Nothobranchius furzeri: one gene and its partner. The protein of the gene in region 2 purifies or fractionates together with the protein of the main gene of each other region. This does not show direct contact. Links are inferred from orthologs where the notes say so. Each region holds a gene or a part of one and is shown on either strand. Other genes may lie near its edges.

Region 1 (3,656 bases), on a different chromosome or scaffold from region 2:
GTGAACTCACTTTTCATAGTACCAGCCTCTTGCTCATCTTCATCGTCAGAGTTGATGACCATGGTGCCAAGCTGTGACTGCATGGTTCCCGTGTCCGCACGTTCAATCATAGTACCGCTAAGTGAACCTGCTAAAGAACCAGCAGCCCGGATCGTTCCGGACTCACTTGGTGCCCGAACCATCGTCCCCTGGTCGACCTCATCTTCATCCTGACAGACGCAAAGATGGGAGAAGATTTTAGCTGAGTTAGCACTCCTATCTCTTGAGCTTGAATGACTGATTGTAATCTGGAAGTAAAACATTTGATTTATTCTCTATAGATTGGATCAGACTCTTATGTCTGTACCGAATTCTCTTCTTCATCTTGTTCTCGTTGTTCTGCCTCCTCTTGTATTTTCAGTTTTATCTCTATGGCGTCCTGGATCAAAGCTCGCAGGATGGAGTTGGGCTTTGCTGATTTGATAAAAGGATGCTGCAGGTGGGAAAAAACAAAAGTGGCTCTGAAATTTCTAATGTCTGATGCCTTTAAAATGCAGTCGTAACCAAAAGAAATGTCCGTTAGAGATAGGTAGCAGAAAGTGTAATAATGTTTTCCAGCCCAACACCGACTGCTTATTCCCAGTTTTTATTTGTTACCTGTAACAACTGAGTGGCTGTCGCTCTGTTTTCTGGGTTTTTCACCAAACATTGGCTGATAAAGTCTTGAAAGTTTGCCGACCACAGATCTGGGCTTCGAAACGTTGGAGGAGGGTTGGTGGGAATCATGAAGATCGCCTTTAGAAACAAATGAAACAAAAACATTTCATTAACCGACTGACTTGTGTGAGCTCAGACAAACCCACTGCCCCTTCCTCACCCTCATCGGGTGTATGTCGGCGTAAGGCGGCTTGCCTTCAGCCATCTCGATCCCGGTTATTCCCAGGGACCAGATATCAGCCACGCAGTTGTAGCCAATTTCCTGTATGACCTCCGGAGCCATCCAGAATGGTGTGCCGATGACGGTGTTTCTCTTTGCCATGGTGTCCTGAGAAGGTCAAGAAAAAATCCAAGGGAACAAACGCAGCTGGTAACGTTTTCAATTCAGCTCCAGAGAAGATTTTTTAACGTCAGATGCATTATATTTGTATTAGTGTAAGAAGCGACAACAGATTCCACTTTCTCCCTTTAAAAAATAGCATTTTAACACAGAGTTTAAACTCAGAGGTTCTTCTTACTGTGAGCTGTCCAGCAACCCCAAAATCAGCCAGTTTAGCTTGACCTTCAGTGTTCAGCAGGATGTTGCCTGCCTTGATGTCTCTGTGGATCTTCCTCATGAAGTGGAGGTACTCCAAACCCTTCAGGGTCGACTGTAGGACGGTGGCGATCTCCTCCTCTGTCAGCTATAAAGCCAAAACACAAACATGTGGTTATTATGGGATGTGACCCACAGCAACAACCTATAACACTCAACCTTGGTGCATACAGACAACAAAAACAGCTTCAGTTCATATTTCACTTTTAGTGAGAAAGAAAGAAACAAAATGGGTGTTTCGGCTCTGTTGTCTCCTGTGGTTTTGATGTTTCGGCCGAAAGCCGAAAATTTCAGTGGCTGAATTTTCGGTGCATCCCAAGTTTATTTGGATGTTAAAATTGTGAAAACTACCTTTGTTATTGTCACAAATCAGTGCCAAGTCTGGATTTAAACCATAAAATACAAAAACAACAGCAAAACATTAGAAATGGCTGAGCAAACTGGTGAAAGTCAGATTTACATGCTGATTCTTCCCCGTGCATTATGGGTAAAGCATCAGCCTTTCCCTCTTTGACACCTGACACAGTCTGCTGCACAAACACATGCAGGTGAGTGTGTGTGTGAGTGTTAAGTTACCGTCTTGTTACGTATTCGGATGATGTCAGACACAGATCCTCCGCCACAATATTCCATGACGATCCACAGGTCGCTGTTTTTGAAATAGCTGCCATAATACCTGACCACATGAGGACTGAACAGAGACAGGAGTCTAATCACAAGGATCATTTTGTTTGTTTATTTATACAAACTTGTTTCATGATGTTCCAACAGGTTTACCAAATACAAGCTCCTGAAATAACTGACTGATAATCTTATTCATTGGTAACTGGCCTGTATTTGATAACATTTAGATTTTTGTTTTGAACCTCCTGAGACCATTCTTGCCCTTTAAAACTTTGTTCTCTTCAAATTAGATCTTTTTTTGTTATTATTTAGAGAAACTTGCCTATCAGGAACTGCTCTGGAATGGTTCTCCTCTTATCTATCTGAGGGATCCTTCTCTGTGGCCGTCTCCAAGTTTAGGTCCTCCACCAACTCCCTCACCCATGATGTCCCACAAGGTTCTGCGCTGGGGCCTCTGCTCTTTCTCCTCTATCTGCTTCCTCTTCAGCACATCCTGAGCTCCTTTAAAGGAATCGCCTACAATCGTTATGCAGATGACATCCAACTGTACATCTCCTTTAAACCCCATGAGATGTCTAAGCTGCAGCTGTTACACATCTGCTTAGACTATCAAAACCTGGATGGTGGGAACTTTCTACAGCTAAATGAAAGGAGGGCAGAGATCCTCATCTGTGCCCCAGACAAGCTGGTTCCCAAAGTCAGAGACTCTCTTGGTCAGCTTGCTTCTCACACCAAACCCTGTCAGGAATCTTGGTGTGACCTTTGACCCAGCTCTCACCCTGGATTCTCATGTCAGTTCTCTTGTTCGCTCTTCCTTCTTCCATCTCAGGAACATTGCTAAGCTGAGTCCCATCCTGCCCCACACTGAACTTGAGACAGTTATCCACACCTTCATCTCCTCACGCTTAGACTACTGTAACTCTCTTTTCACGTGTCTGAGCAGAACCTCCCTGAACCGGCTACAGGTGGTTCAGAATGCCTGTGCTCGGCTTCTGACCAAGTCCTCCAAACACACCCACATCACCCCGCTTCTCCTCCAGCTTCACTGGCTGCCAGTCAACTTCAGGGTTCATTTCAAGATCCTGGTTCTGGTCTATAGGGCCTTACATGGACAAGCACCATCATACATTGGTGATCTTCTCAGTCCCTACACCCCCAGCAGGTCCCTGAGGTCCAGTGACCAAAGCCTACTGGTTGTGCAGCACCAGGCTAAAGACCAAAGGTGACAGATCATCTCCTGCTGTGGCCCAAAGACTCTGGAGCTCTCTCCTCCTGAGCCTGAGATCAGTGGACTCAGTGGTCTCCTTTACACTCACCTGTTCAGGCTTTGGTGGGACCTTCTATTGATTCTTCATCACTACCTTCTTTTCATGCTGCTATTTCTACCAATTCTGCCTTTCTCAGGATCCTGCATTACCTTTTTCTTGTCCACTTTTGCCTTCCTTATTTAATATTTTGTTCACGTTTATGAGTCACGTTTGTTACTAATATGTAATCGCTAGTAGGGATGTGAATCTTAGAACAACTCACGGTTTGATTCGATTCCGATTCTTGGGGTGCTGATTCGATTCAAAATCGATTCTTGATTTAAATCAATTCACAATCAGTATTAACAAAGAGTGTCAGCTCCAGGATTAACTACTTTGTTGTACAAGTTAGTTAAAGCTATGGGACATTTTTATCTGACTTTAAACTGGTCATGCTCCAAAAATGCAAATTTACAATGTAAACTAAAGTGATT
Region 2 (4,147 bases):
GTTTTTGTGTGTCCTCACTGCAAATAGCAGAGTGCTAATGCTCTAGGCAGTTAATTGAGTGTTGTAACGTGGCATTTATACTTTATTGAAATCAAACAAATGTACCAGAAATTTGGATTTAAAAAGGTATAAAAAGTTAGTTACAAGTAGATCCTAGCACATACTGATTGTTAGCATTAGCGATAGCATTATTATCATGAAATAATGAAAAAATCAGCTGTGAAAATCCAAAAACCTTTTACACCTGAGACTGTAATACTTTTTACACATGCTATTCAAATAAAATTTGGCCAATATCTTTAAGAATGTGAATAGGTGTAGCTGTTGTTGTGTACCTGTGAAAGATAGACATTTTCTCTGTGACTTCATAAAATGGCACAGATAATGTATAAAGCACAAAATAACTTGCTTTGCTGCAGTACTCAGAAGCTGTTCAAAGTCAGACAGAGTCAATATGACTTAAGGGGAACAGAATTCTTTAACAAAAATAAGATAAGGACAACTGTAAAGCAGAGATGTGTTTCTGTTAGATGAGTCAACCTGTGGAATAGCTATGACAGTGATTTAAAAAGATGTAGTTCATTGTCCTTGTTTAAAAATATGTTTAAAAATAGAATATTAGAAAAATATATAAACCAAGAATGAAAAGAGCAAAAATAATACTGAACCTCTTGATTGTTTTGCTTTGATGTAGTTACTTATCTAAGGTGTACATTTTTTGTTTTGTTTGTTTGTTTTGCTTGTTTGTTTGTTTGTTTTGTTTTGTTTTATTCTCAGCATGCAGCTCCAGGAGCTTCATGCAAAAAGATCTTTCTTAAAAGGGTTGGCGTAATAAGCAAATGCTTCAGCCAATACCTTTTGATTAGCCTTGTTTTGTGTTTCTTGCTTTGTGGTAATCTTTATTCTGTATTCATTGGAATATTTGAATGCTAATCAATAAAAATCAAATCAATCAAATCAAATCAACCAAGTTCCCGGTGAAAAAAACACAAAGACATTTGCACCACATAAATATCCATTTTGTGGTATGTAGTGCTCTATGTTGGCTATGTGAGCCCTTTTTCTACCTCTAATTTTGCAGCTGAATGCACACCAGCATGCTTCTGTCATGTGTGGCTCATAATGTCTTTCTTTCTTCACACACACACACACACACACACACACACACACACACACACACACACACACACACACACACACACACACACACACACACACACACACACACACACACACACACACATTCTGAAGGCAAGTCATATCTGGTGTCAGTCAGCCACTCCCTCTAAACGCTGTCTCAACGTGTTTTGCAATAATTAACCAGCTGCTGCGGTGTTGCTGCAAAGGCTCACCTCCCGCCACACGAACTATACACCAGACCTTTGAACACAGTCACTCAGATTCATAAACAAGACTCGAAACATGTAATGGACCTGCAACAATTTAATAGGAGATCTAAAGGCTGAACTGCACAGGTAGGAAGAAGCGTTCCTCTGACAATCAAATTAGAAGGCTTTAGCTGGAGCTACTACCACTACGTACACCTATTGTTTTCTATAAAAAAGAATCAAACATTTTCATCTTAAACTACTGACAAATGTTTGCCAAATTCATTGTCAATGTGTCATTTATTTTGTAATTTTAAAAGTTTATCTCACAATTGACATTTATTATGGCTGGAGTTCCATCGTGATTTTGTTCCCTCGGACAAAGTGTCTAGGTTTGAAACCTGTAGACCCAAATAAAATCAGATCAGAATGTGCAATCAAGAAATCGTAAATGTGCCATGAGGACGGGGTATAACAGAAAGACAAATCTATGAAGAAGGGAAAAGGAAGGTCATAAAGTCAGAGACTGGGTGCGTACTGGTTGAGTGTGTCATTATCCACGTAAAGACTTGAACATCATCTTTAAAAGGCAACAACAAAGCACCATAGGACCAGTTAGTGCAACATCAACAACTGCTTTCTGAAATGTTTGCTTTAAAATAACTTCTAAAATCAGTTTAAATTAGCAGAAAGTTGAAGTATTTGGTTGGTTAATTATTTATTGTAATAATTAATGCATTAATACTTCTAATTACTAATTAACTGACACTTTTGACAGCGAATCTAATTCTGTTTAATTCCTTTTGAACGGAGCCAGAAAATGTATTTATTGTTTGAGCAGAACAGTTGAGTTTGTGGGTTTTAACCAACAACGATAATGCCAAAAATTCTCTGCCAAACAATGTTTTCTGCTTGTTTGGTGTCATTTATTTGATTGTATGGCTGAAGTTCCAGGAGACAAGATTTACTTGTAATCTAACAGCATGTGGAAGAGCCGAGTGCAGCCACAACAGGCCTGGTACCATTTCCTCATGCTGGTCACCAGTTTAAATTTGCATTTGCTACCAAAACACAAAAATGTTCTTGCATGAATGGTCCAGTGGCAAACCAAAATGTGGGGGTTTTGTTTGCTTTTCATAAAAGAGCTTGAGATCTTTTCAGTCAGTGTTCTAAAAATGAACACACCTCAGTGAGTATGTTGATTGGCTACATTTAGAGCTCAAGGTGTTTCCTTTATCAAAAGGCTTTTCTGACGTCATGACTCAGGTAGCCATTTTTCTCATGCATGATATGGAAATCTGAAGCGCACACGCACACACACACACACACACACACACACACACACACACACACACACACACACACACGCACAAAGGCTAAGTACATTAACTCGATGTTAGGTGTGCATCAATCCAAGTCTCAAGACTCAAGACTCAAGACAACTTTATTAGTCCCCGAGGGGCAATTCGAGACAGCATTGTGAAGCAGCCGGCACTAAAATCTCTAAATTCTAAAAACACATCCAAATTACACATTTGTAAAACCCATAAAAACCTATATACACAATCATGTCATAAACTCACATGTGAATGACCAACAATGATTAAAACTTTGGCTCACACACACACACACACACACACACACACACACACACACACACACACACACACACACACACGTAACTACATGCACACACACATACAAGTAATGCACACTCCCCCTATCTGCACTGAGAATTAAGAAGAAGCACAGCTCTGGGAACAAAGGAACTTCTCCTCTGTGTTTTACAGCATGGGCATCGAAGTCGGCGTTTGGAGGGCAGCCACTCGAAAACAGTATGAAGAGGGTGTGATGGGTCTTTAATGATTTTCTGTATGACCGTCTGTATGACCGGGACAGGTCTGTTCAGGAATCCACTTACAGGAAGTTGTTCCACAGAACAACCAGTTTGAACAGCTGCAGATATGGAATGCAGCTCTCAATAATTCATCTGAGCTTCTCTTTCAAATCTGACTGTTAGTTCCTAAAAAAGCCCACAGTGCTCATTGTGTTTGGCCTGTCGTATTTTGTTTGGCAGATTACCAAAGGAGATGAATAACAAATAAAAAATAGATTAATGTCAACTAAAATAATGTAAATATACAGATGACTTGGTGCCTCAGCAGTTATTCATATTGTGAGTTTGTATCTTGAGGAATGTCTTTAAATCTTAATATGTAGGGCAAAATAAACATTTTAATAAACTTAAAAATAACTAAAAAGTAAAACAATACAGTGGTAAATGTTTTGCAGATTTTAAAAGGGAAAAAAAATACTTAATTTGAAATTACATTAAAAGCAGTATTTTTGTGTTGGAGTAAGACCTTATCAACAGATGCCCATTAGGGTCAAAAAGCTCTGAGGAGTGCAAACTTTAGCAAAATAACAAGAACATCAGACTCCCCTTCACCACTGGCAACATGTGAGCAGGTGAATGTGTAAAACAATAACATTGAGTGATGCAAGTTTTGTAACCATTTGTATAGTAATATGGCGTCGCCCAGACCAGATTTTTATGGTTATATGTTACAAAGCCGCCAATTTTTTTCTGCAACTGGGCACCAATTCATTAATTTTCAACAACATTTTGATGGATATTTGCAGAAAGTAATGGTAGAAACTACATATTGTCTCTTTAAACTAGCAACAGTCACGGTGATGTGGTGTAAAACTATACCCTTAAATGTATGGACTGCTCCCTAGTGCCAGGAAACTACACACTGCCGCTGGACACTTAATTAACAATAATGGCAACTTTAACAAAAGGATCCTTTGTTTAT

What was found. The genes of interacting proteins can lie anywhere in the genome.
Region 1: the proteins of rassf6 (region 2) and serine/threonine-protein kinase 4 purify together in Homo sapiens (affinity purification with mass spectrometry; 5 studies listed by BioGRID and IntAct, counting the BioPlex papers as one, with this or other methods). This does not show direct contact. The link is inferred for Nothobranchius furzeri from reciprocal best matches to the Homo sapiens genes RASSF6 and STK4.

Annotation. Positions count from the first base shown.
Region 1 is NC_091743.1:73,684,663-73,688,318, reverse strand, and holds part of serine/threonine-protein kinase 4, read right to left. Parts: intron 1,983-3,656; coding exon 1,868-1,982; intron 1,380-1,867; coding exon 1,215-1,379; intron 1,025-1,214; coding exon 857-1,024; intron 775-856; coding exon 637-774; intron 473-636; coding exon 347-472; intron 210-346; coding exon 11-209; intron 1-10. UniProt on the Homo sapiens protein: Stress-activated, pro-apoptotic kinase which, following caspase-cleavage, enters the nucleus and induces chromatin condensation followed by internucleosomal DNA fragmentation.
Region 2 is NC_091746.1:44,755,785-44,759,931, reverse strand, and holds the start of rassf6 (ras association domain-containing protein 6), read left to right. Parts: upstream 1-1,340; 5' UTR 1,341-1,475; intron 1,476-3,118; 5' UTR 3,119-3,119; coding exon 3,120-3,163; intron 3,164-4,147.